Linked DNA regions of Mus musculus. The protein of the gene in region 2 interacts with the protein of the main gene of each other region in a pairwise test. Links are inferred from orthologs where the notes say so. Each region holds a gene or a part of one and is shown on either strand. Other genes may lie near its edges.

Region 1 (3,749 bases), on a different chromosome or scaffold from region 2:
CTGGGCTTAGGTTCTGCTCCCCCCTCCCCCCAAGAAGGGGGACCCTGCAGTAGCTCCACTAGGGGGGCTTTTGACTCTTGACCATCTGAGCTACTTCTGATGCCCAGTTGTTATCTGCACATAGGGCCCTGACTCCCGGAGCTCAGCTCAACACGAACTCCAAAGCTTGCGTGGAGTTTCCAACAGAGGAATGCTCGACAGAGCCATCTTTATCGGGGGGGGGGGGGGGGGGGGGGAAGTCCTTCTCTTTGAGTGCAAAGCTTTGGAAGGGATGCACATGGTGTGGAATAGGAGGAAGGGGACACCCACAGTGACACTCAGATCACCAGATCAACCCTGTTGATCAATGGGATGACAGATGTCTCAGCCAGATCTCCCTCACATCCGGAGCTCAGCTCTTTAGAGACCCAGAGAGCCACAGCTGTCCGTTTTGGGGGAGGTGCTTTCTTTTCTGGGGTTGGAGGGAATTCTGTCCCTCACTGGATTTCCTATTCACACCCACATCCCCAACTCTGTCAGAATAAGAAAATTCCTTGCCCATGGGGCTGTGAGGCCCGAGGTCCTATTCAGGTACCAGTTGACTGGGTGGTGTTTTTTTCTTCTAAACAGGTTCTGTGTTCTCTCCACTCTGGCCTTTTGAGAGGACCAAATATTCCTTTTCTTCTGTTTCCACCTGCCAGATGTGGAGAGGCTAGTTGCTGGATTTCCAAGGTGGCTTCCTATTGGTATACCAGTAGAGAGGCTTGTGTAGAAAACACCTCCCCTCCGGACTTACAAAGTCCTGTCAGGACTCCTGTCATCCCAGCTGGCTGGCTTCTGTTCCCGGAAGAGGTTGGGTTCTGCCTTTAGGGAGAGTATGTGTTGAGGGAGAAGACTAACCTGGCCTGAGGCTTTTATATTCTCTCAAGTCTCTTCCCTCAAGGTCCCAGGCTGGGCAAGGAAAGACAGCTTGGAGAGGCCATCTGGTACAAGAAGCCTCACCAACAGTTGACAAAGGAAGTTGGTGGGGCCCGGTGACCTCTTCAGCCATTGGGGAAGTCTGTGGTCCCAGGGAAGGGAAGGTGTAGGGAAAAAAAATCTTTTTGCTCCTCTGCCCTAGTAGCTGAGGGTACTGAAGTGACTGGTCTAAATGTACACATCATTGCAGTGTGTGTGTGTGTGTGTGTGTGTGTGTGTGTAGCTTACAGAGCAGGTCCAGTCTGTAAGCCCCCTTCCCCGGGCCCCCGCAGCCCTTGGCGCCTGGGAGGTTGCACCTTTGAAACTGTATGCCAGCGGCTGGACCTCTGTAGCAGCAGAGAAGTGGTGGGGAGGAGGCGGGCGGTGGTCCGTGCTTGGGGGGGAGGGCGGGAAGGAGTCTGGCCCTGGAAGTGTGCTTTTCGATTGATGGATGACTGCCGGGTGTGAGCGAGCGTGCGGGTGTGAGTGTGTATGTGTGTGTGTGTGTGTGCGCGCGCGCGCGAGGTGTGTGTGTGTGCGCGCGCGCGGGGCCTGCCCATTTTCCTCCTCACAGCAGTCAGTTGGGAGCTGGAGGGAGAGGGAGACGCCGGCAGCGAGCACTGGGAGAGGAGCTGAGCGCCCTCCGCTTAAGACGCCTTTCCTGGGTCTACGCACAGACGCTGTCGCTGGGAGCATCTAGGTACCACTCGATCCGCAAGGGCGCATCGCACGATTCCACCGGCTCTTCGGTCCTTCGGTGGGGATAGCACCTGGAGCTAGCCCCGGACGGGGATGGTCAGCGGCTGCGGCCGTCTGGCACGCGAACGGGACACGGCGAAGGCACCATGGCGCTAACGCCCCAGCGCGGGTCCTCTTCGGGGTTGAGCCGACCGGAGCTGTGGCTGCTGCTGTGGGCAGCCGCGTGGCGCCTGGGGGCCACGGCGTGCCCCGCCCTCTGCACCTGCACCGGCACTACGGTGGACTGCCACGGCACGGGTTTGCAGGCCATCCCCAAGAACATCCCACGGAACACCGAGCGCCTGTGAGTACGGATCCGCCCGTCCACTGGGAGTCCCTCCACCCCCTCGACCCCTGGTTGCTCTCCCACCCTGACGGATCAGAGGGACCGGAATCGGGTGGGGGGCGCTAGACCGTTGGGCTCCGTCGCCAGTAGAGGAGTCAGTGCCTTGGTAGGTTTTTAGGAAACCAGAAACCAGGAGCGCATTTGCAGGTGCCAGATTCAAAGGGCCCTGGAAGCATCCTCAGCCCTTCCTCACACCTGCCCCTTGCGATCTCTGCTCTCCGCTGTGACAGGTCCTTCCCACTGTACAGCACTTTATTCCTCTAGGGTACCTGGAGCCTTCCTGGCACCTAGGAGAACAGCTTCCCACAGACTCCAGGCACGGTGTCTCCTTTTGGACACATGGGGTTTGCTGGGTTCTGAGTGGGCAGGTGGATTTGGGCTCTGAGGGCTCGCTGCCACGGACCAGAAGTTTCTGAGCACCTATTCTACCCATTGTTTGGTCCCAGAGCCTGGATAAGTCTTCCCTTGAAGGTGTAAGCAACCTACCCTCTCCTTCAGTCTTCATCCTGAGCCCAGGCAGACAGACAATGGGACCCGAGGGCCTTTGGTTTGGGTTTTGGGGAATATGACATCGGAACCCTTACAGGGTGAGAGGAGTCCTGGACTGCGAGCTCAGGGATGATACTAGAGGCCAGGAGCTCGGACTGGGACATAAGGTTGGAGACATTGACAGTGACAAGTCATAAAAACCACCCTTCCTTCCCTCTTGTTCTCTTGTACTTCTGGATTTTGAGGTAACTCCACCCTTTCCAGACCTGCCTCATGAGCACGGTGGAGCGTGTGTGATACATTTTCTCTTTTCCTGCCAAATGTGGTCGGTGTGAAATTCCGGCACCTAAGGATACCACGGCAGTGTGAGTCCGGGGGGTCTGCGGGTCGTGCGAGTGGATTTTTAGTCACACACAGGGCCTTTGTACACTTTCAGAGGTGACTGTACCAGGGGATTTTTTTTTTTTTTTGATACTTTGGGGAAGGTTAGTGGCTTCTTTGAAACCATGCTCCTCTTTCTTTCCACACTCCTGGGTGACTACAGTGAGCGTCAGAAAAGGTATACATATTTTGATAACTCAGGAGCATACTTTCATGAGTCTCAGCTGGCCAGAGGCAAACCCCGGGGAGAGCTGTTGCCTACATCAAACTCTGAACTTCTGTACCGAGGCCAGCAATTAGTGAGTACATGCTTGCCCCAGACTCTTTCTTGGCTGGGTTTGAGACATTCCCGTGACAGTTTCAGAGAATTTGCAATCTGCATGCAATCTAGTTGGGAACTGGCGTGTGTGTGTGTGTGTGTGTGTGTGTGTGTGTGTGTGTGTGTGCACGCACCCATGTAGAAATTGGGGTGACCGAACTGAGTTTCCTTGAGTCAGCCTCATGGACCTAGAGAGAAATTAAGGACAATCAAGTCTGTTTGGAGGACCTCTGAGGTCACCTTGGCCTGTTCTTTCCGGATGAAATTTCTGTCCCCTGCTTTACCCAGTGGTGTGTTTTTTCTGGGCTATTACCCTGGCAGCAGCCCACACAGGAGACACATGAGGCCCTCTCCTTTGCTTTTGCACCTTGTCTACTCTGCATTCTTGCTTTCCCACTGTCCTACTACCTTGACTGCTTCTGATAGGCTCTGCTTTGCCTTTCATGAATTCTTTAGTCTTTTCTAGTCAGTGAGATGGAAGTGAATCCCCAGACAGAGCAGAGTTGGGGGTAGCCCTGGAAGCCAGAGTATCTGGGTTAG
Region 2 (3,749 bases):
TGAACTGTACCAGTTTTGAGAATTTGTCCACCCTGTTTGATTTAGTGACCTACATATTTCTATAAAATGTGTATAAAGATAAATCTCTGACGGGAAAGCATTTACAACCAGCAAACTCACACACATGAAACCAGCTAAGTTAGGGGGTGAATTAATTGTGTAAACACAGTGCATCTCTTCTTCATGAGTCTTTGGACACTCTCTCTCCTCTATGTCCTACTTAAGGGCTAGGTGGAGAAGAACAATACATAGATAAAAGGAGAGATGCCTCCTTCCTGCAAATGTCTGATGGCAAAGGGAACTAACTGTTCTCCAGCCGACATCTAAAAGGAATCATAGGTTGTGGGGAGAAAAAAATCTCACAACAGTGAAGGAAAGGATGTTGGGAGCCATCAGCAATTGATGTGGACACCCGATGTGGATGAAGGAGTTAACTTCCAACCAAGGCTCCAGAATTCTCTGGAAATACCTTATCTTGGCCAGGAGCTCCCCAGATGGGACGAGAAAGGAAGAGAGAGTCTGTAAAGAAAGGAAGATAAGCTAAGAATGTGCTTTGGGTAAGAAATCCCAGCCCAGGGAGAAGCCTGGGCTGCAGAGTTGGGCTGGAGTAGCCTCAGTGGGAGGTAGTCAGAGTGTCTGAGGTAGACGATGCCGGAGAAGGGGCACTGGGCGAGGGGCTAGATTTCTCAGATGATTCTTCCGTTTTCTCATCGCTGCCAGGAGGAGTGGCAGGGGAGATGGGCAGGAGCCCCTCCTTCTCACGCTTCTTCTGCTTCATGCGGCGATTCTGGAACCAGATCTTCACCTGGGTCTCATTGAGCTGTAGGGACGCGGCAATCTCCACCCTGCGCGCTCGTGTAAGGTACTTGTTGAAGTGGAACTCCTTCTCCAGCTCTGTGAGCTGCTTGGTGGTGAAATTGGTGCGCACTGCGTTGGGTTGACCCACGTAGCCGTACTCTCCAACTTTCCCTAGGGTAGGGGAGGAAGAGAGAAAAGATTAAAAAAAAAATCTTAAACCTTTATCCAGATTGCCCCAAGCTTGAGGCAATATTCGGTTAACTACTCAGCGAGCACAAACCCTATCGGGAAGCGCCAGTGACGATGTGTAAGCAGTGTTAACCTGAAGTCAACCATTAGTGTGATCAGGCTCGTGATTAATGGAGCCTTGTAGATATTAACAGGACATCACCATCACCACCATCACCACCATCACCACCTCCCACTCCCCGCACACTATCTAACTATAGACCATTTAAACCTCAGCCCCTGTGAAACGCTTTTGCCTCTGCACACCTGGGCACCCTACACCACTCACTACAACTCTAGATGACATTAGACATAAACAAGAACCAATCTTTTAAAAATCATTCATTTTCCTAGGAAACTAGGTGTGCCAGCCCCTTTCAAAAATCGAACAGCATTTGTCTGTCAGCCGGCAGGACTTACCTGTTTTGGGAGGGTTTCTTTTAACTTTCATCCAGTCAAAGGTCTGCGCTGGAGAAGACGTCTCTGAAGCAGGGGAACGACAGGCTTCTTGGTGGCTGGCGTGGAGAGGGGATAAGGAGTTATTATACGTGGCCAGGGCCAGAGTCTGCTGCTCTTGTCCATATGAGTGGTGAATGTACTGGGGCGAGCCCACTGTGCCCCCAGCATAACCCTGGTGGTGGTGGTGATGCTGGACCATGGGAGTCGAGAGGTTTCCAGAGTAAACAGCGGGAGCGCACGGGGGGTACCCACCACTTACGTCTGCTTCCTGATTTAATCCATAGGGGCCATAAGGCGCACTGAAGTTCTGCGCGCCATAGCTTGGACCACAACTCGAGTGGGAATAAGAAATCCCAAGGTTTCCAGAAGTCTGGTAAGTAGCCGTCTGGGGGTGGTGATGGTGGTGGTGGTGGTGGTGGTGGTGGGGCGAGCTGATCTGCACCCCCCTGCCCACTAGGAAGCGGTCGTCGCCGCCGCAGCTGTTGGCACTGACCGCGCAGGATTGGAAAGTTGTAATCCCATGGTCAGAGGGGTAAGCTCGCGCCGAGCAGGTCCCAGAGTCGCCACTGCCAAGGATGGGGTATTCCAGAAAGGAGTTCATTCTTGCATTGTCCATCTGTCACTGAGTGATTGGATCCTGCGAAGCCCTGGGTGACCGTGCCAACTTTCTCACTTCCTCCATAGGACCAGAGAAGAAAAATGATATGAATGTACAGTGCGCAAGAGGCGGGGCGGGCAGGCGGAGGGCTCGAGGGGAGGACACGTGACTCTACCAGCCAATGGCTGAGCCGCCTGCGAAAGTTTACCGGCTGCGGCCGTGATGGATCACCGTTTCAGTGGCATTTAAATCCCCGGCGCTCCTCAGTGTAGGTGACGCGCGCTCGCCCCCCCAGGCAGCCCGGGCCGCGGCGGTAGCAGCGGCCGCTCCCGGAGCTGACTTGGAGCACTGGGACCAAAGGGAGTCGAGACTGCCTTCTGCGCGCGCCCGGCTTTGCGCGCCTCCGCCACCAGATGTGGGGGGATGGGAGGCCCCCTCCGCGGCCCCTTCCCCACCCAGCCCAGAAAGCTGAACTGGCAAGAGGTGAGAGGGGATGAGGCCTCCTGGCTCTCTTGTGGCGGGCATCTTGTGGGCCGAAAATCTCTGCGTGGTCGCAAGGACCCTGGCGGAGCTGGGAGCACGCGGGGTGGGAAGGGTGGGAATCCAACAGACACCACGCCCTCAGCTCGGGGCGGCCGCCACTACCCAACCCCTGCAAGAGACCTGAGCCCGGAATCCCGGCGCCTAGGGCGAGGTTGCGTCACTGGCTCGCCAGCCTCGGAATGTAGAGGGACGTGCGCAGAGGATTGACTGGGAGGAACCATGGTGAATGTGCTGGGGACCAAAGCAAGAAAAGAAACTTCTGTCCTCATCCAAAGGGTCTTAGAGCCCTCTTCCCTGATTCCTGCCGGCCAATAGCATGGCAATGGGAGCTTCTGTAATTCGACCCCAGGGTCCCGGGATTCGGGGGTGGGGGTGGGGGTGGGGGGGGCTACGAACCCAGCTCTCTGGGAAAGGCCGGGTGTCCACTCTCTTCTCTGCCCTCTCTCCTTCTCTGTCGCTTTGCTCTTGGTAGCCCTGCAAAATCGGGGCAACTCTGCTACTGGAGTTTAAGGAGTAGAAGGCAAAGGAGATTGTTGACGCCAGCAGACGTGGCTGACTGGCGTGAGGGCCGAGCCTGAGCTGCAGGCCATCTGCCAACTCTTAGAGACCCAGGAGCATGCTCACTCTAGGGTAGGCCTCAGAAGGGCAGATAACAGGCAACTCCTAAAAAGTATGCAGACCTCCCCCGTCGAGTTTCTCTCTTCCAGGAGAGGCAAGTTAGGAGTGGAAGAGCCCCCCCTTCCCACCATCCCCTATTGCCTGTGTGGACTGGGGCATGGGGGGTGTTGAGGACCGGCAGGTGGGAGGGACAGATGACTGAGTGGATGGGACCCTTTCCAACGGGCTTGTGTGAACCTGCAGGTCACTCCCCAGAGAGACACGTGCAGATGTGAGCATCATCCCAGGACAGGGGTCCTGTTTCCCATCAACCTTGTCCTGCAATGATGCTGATGGTGTCAGTAATTGCTGTTTACTATTAGATGTCACGTCAACTCTAAGCTTGGAGAAAGAAAAGGCCAAACAGAGATGAGAATGGACATAGTCTTAAGGAGGAGAAATTCAGCGGTCACTTAAAAAACACCGTGCAGACAGTTCTGCACAAGTTTTCTTCTCGATGTTTCTA
Region 3 (3,649 bases), on a different chromosome or scaffold from region 2:
ACAGTGAAAGCTAGAAAATTTGCTATTTGATTAATATATTATGCTTTGATACTGTGGTAGCTCATGAAATAAACCGTCTTTTTTACTTACATACTGTTGGTTATTTAACATTGTGCTTCATGCTTCATCATTCTATAAAAGTTTTGGTTCTACTGGGAAACTCTTTCTATGCTAATTTTGTAAGTTGCTCATTGTGATTATCTTAATGAGCAACTTACAAAAGGTATCTTAGACCTTCACTCTGTCTCCGACACTCTCTGAGGGATCCATGTTCTGTTCACACCACCTTTAAGTTAGATAGTTTAAGCATCTGTGATGTTGGCACAGTGACATATAATAACATATTTTTTCCTTTTTGAAAACAGATTTGGACTGAGCAACAAATTTGAATCAGAATTCCCTTCTTCATTAACTGGAAAAGTGAGTGTCTCTCTTATTGTTATTAATCTACTGTTTCTATATCTCAAATTATTTTCTCATAGAAATGAGTAAATGTGTGCTGAGACCCATTTATTGTCACTCAGCATCTCAGTGTTACGTTTCTTCCCTTCCTGTAGGTAGCTCCTGAAGAATTTAAAGCCAGCATCAACAGAGTTAACAGCTGTCTCAGGAAGAATCTTCCTGTTAATGTGCGGTGGTTGCTTTGTGGCTGCCTGTGCTGCTGCTGCACGTTAGGGTGCAGTATGTGGCCAGTTATTTGCCTCAGTAAAAGAGTAAGTTGAATTATGTCTTTTAATTTACATTTAGAAGTGTGAAACAAGTCTTACTTTTACCTTTTTTTTTTCTGTTTAATGAACCACACTGTTCTGAATGCTATATAGAAGTAATCTGATATAGTAAAGCAAGATTAATTAAATCATATATTCAAATATTATAAAACAGCTGTGTAACAGTCGTCATAATTTTTATACATTAGGAAATTATAGTCAAAAGGTGCAGCCCTATGTCTGTATGCATTAATTATGGACTAGAATGGTACTGTATATTTCTGTGCCCATGGACATACTTCTGAACCTCTTTAAATCTGATTGATACAGCTATAAAATAATAATATTCACCTGTGATTTGAATAGAATTGTTGTAAGGATACAGTAAAATAGTATTTATAAAGCTCTTAGCTGAACAGCTTATGAGAAATTCTGTCAGCTTCAATGCTGTTTTAAGTATAAGAGAGACAGTTTAAAGGAAGAACTGTGTACTTTGGCTCATGGTTTTAGAGATTTTAGTCATGGACTGTTACGCTGGCTCCATTACTTCTGTGCCTGACCATGCAAAACCATCATGATGGCTGAGTAGAGCTGCATGCCTCATAGTCATCAGGCGTCAGAGAGGGAAGGAGGAGATTGGAACAAGATGTAGCCCCTGAGAACAGAGTCCTTCCTACCCATTCCTCTAGATCCTATGTCTAGACATTTGAACCACTTTCCAATATGCCTTCATGTTAGGAATCTATGAGTGATTTAGTCTGTTGAGTAGGTTGTATTCCTTGTAATCCAGATCATCTTGCAGTCCACAGTCTCCCAAGCTCTACTGTCAACTGAGCTATCGCACAGCTCTCCTCTTACTTTTAAATGACATTGGTGTACGTCAGTGTCTCCTGTGCACTCACGTTCAGTACCTGAGTCTCTGTGGTCTATCCTGTCAGAGTTCCTGGAAGTAGTTACAGAGGCTAGTGGTCCTGGTTCTCTGCAAGAGCAGCCAGTACTCCCAACTCACCTCTCCATCCCCTAACATACAAGCTTTTGGAGGGAGTCCTTCAAATCTAACCCATAACAGAAGTTGTCAATAAGGAGTGACTAATATTATTACTAGTACTATGAGAGTACCCATGGAGGAGATAAAATGCTTACAGGAAAATAATATGGGTTATTTTATTTTTGTACTTTACAGTTTCTCTATAATGAATATACACTGACTCTGATTAGGAAAAATCATTGGAAGACCTAATTTTCATTGCTTATAATGAAAAAGTTCCAAGATGTTAGTTATAGATATGCCAAAATGATACAAATCAAAAGTTGGTTGGGTGGTTTTTGTTTTGTTTTGTTTTTGAAGACATTGTTTTACTCCTTGGATTTGACTGGCTTGAAACTCACTTCAGGTTAGTCTTGAACTAAGAGATCTGCCTGCCTCTGCCTCCCAAATGCTCCAGGCCACCATGCCTAACACATCACCATTGTTTTTGTTATCTTAACTATTATACTTACACGTGTGAAGTTGATGTAATATTCAGCCATGTATGGTAACTCAGGTATGAAATCCTAACACTCAGGCTGAGACAGGAGGATTGTGAATTTGCTACATAGTAAGTTAAGGCCAGCCTGGAAAACCAAAGGAGGGGGGCAGGTGTCAACCAATTTGGCTTGAATGTTTTTCTGTGGAAACATTTAATTTTTGTGCTAGATAATGGCGAGGAAATGAAGGAAATCACATTTAATTTGTTACTTGACTTCTATTATAGAGTTAGAGGTATATTTTACTGAAAATTTTTGAGCTGATTTATTGCTAGAAAGGAAATGATGCTTTCATAATAGAGTTGTATATTATTTTTTATAATATTTAAAATACTTATATTTCTCATAAACTATTTTATTATTTGTGTGTTGAACATGGGAGGTGCAGGTACCGCCAGAAGTGTTTAAAGGCCAGGGGACAACACTGTGCAGTCAGTTCTCTTCTGCCGTTGAGTGGGTTTCGGGTGGATCTCAGGTCATTGAGCTTGTGCAGCGGAAGGGTTTTTTTTTTTTTTTTTTTTGCTGGCCCTACTTTCTTAGAGATTTTTTTACCCCCCTAATTCTTGCCAGATTGCCTCTAGGCCACAAAAAAACTGTCTGGCAGTGTTTGGATTCACAGTTGTATTTTCTGATTTTCTTTAGGCTCTGTCTCTCACTGCCTTCCTCATTTCAGGCCTTGCTGTTGTCTGAGTGGCTGTCCAGGTCATATGGTTACGGTGGTGGGCTTTGTTTGTTGGATCTGGCCTTGATTTTCAGATCTGATCTTATCTTTTCCCTCCCTCCCTCCTTCCCTCCCTCCCTCCCTCCCTCCCTCCCTCTCTCCCTCTCTTTCTCCCTTTCTCCCTCCCTCTTTCCTCCCTTCTTTTACTTTTTAAATGAGTAATACAAGAGATTTTAATATGTGGATGCTATATTTAAAAAACAAAAGTGAAACCTTATAGTTCTCTATACATTTCCTGCCTTGAGTATAACTTCTCTGTACCATGTCATGAATGTATGGAGAGTACTAGAACACCTTTGTAAGATGGGAGACAAGATAGCAGGGATTTCCAACCCTCATTGTCATGGACCACTCTGCTAGTCTAATAATGCTAGAGCCTATAAATACTATTTTAGTATAACATTTAATTATTCTAAATACTACATTAATCAATATTTTAGATTACAAAACCCCAATTATATATCAAACAACTAAAATAAGGAACTGGAAAGTATTTGAAGATGTGAGAAAATGCTGTTCAGTGACTGCAATGACAACATTCTGGTAATGTGCAAGCTGCGAGGGCTTCACTAAGAACTAGGAAAGGAGGATGTCATAAAAGAAGACAAAGGCCACAGTATACTCCAGGCCCATCCACACTGGATGTCCCATTTACCTATCTGTTCTCCTCATAACAAGACTCAGGGAGAATCCA

The links.
Region 1: the proteins of Hoxa1 (region 2) and Slit1 interact in binary tests that used the Homo sapiens proteins (3 or more experiments, as listed by UniProt). The link is inferred for Mus musculus from reciprocal best matches to the Homo sapiens genes HOXA1 and SLIT1.
Region 3: the proteins of Hoxa1 (region 2) and Chic2 interact in binary tests that used the Homo sapiens proteins (3 or more experiments, as listed by UniProt). The two-hybrid records come from large-scale screens. The link is inferred for Mus musculus from reciprocal best matches to the Homo sapiens genes HOXA1 and CHIC2.

The regions. Positions count from the first base shown.
Region 1 is NC_000085.6:41,741,441-41,745,189, reverse strand, and holds the start of Slit1 (slit homolog 1 protein precursor), read left to right. Parts: upstream 1-1,333; 5' UTR 1,334-1,781; coding exon 1,782-1,978; intron 1,979-3,749. UniProt on the Homo sapiens protein: Thought to act as molecular guidance cue in cellular migration, and function appears to be mediated by interaction with roundabout homolog receptors.
Region 2 is NC_000072.6:52,156,121-52,159,869, forward strand, and holds the start of Hoxa1 (homeobox protein Hox-A1), read right to left. Parts: upstream 2,198-3,749; 5' UTR 2,102-2,197; coding exon 1,447-2,101; intron 970-1,446; coding exon 614-969; 3' UTR 1-613. UniProt on the Homo sapiens protein: Sequence-specific transcription factor. Regulates multiple developmental processes including brainstem, inner and outer ear, abducens nerve and cardiovascular development and morphogenesis as well as cognition and behavior.
Region 3 is NC_000071.6:75,024,132-75,027,780, reverse strand, and holds part of Chic2 (cysteine-rich hydrophobic domain-containing protein 2), read left to right. Parts: intron 1-365; coding exon 366-420; intron 421-557; coding exon 558-713; intron 714-3,649.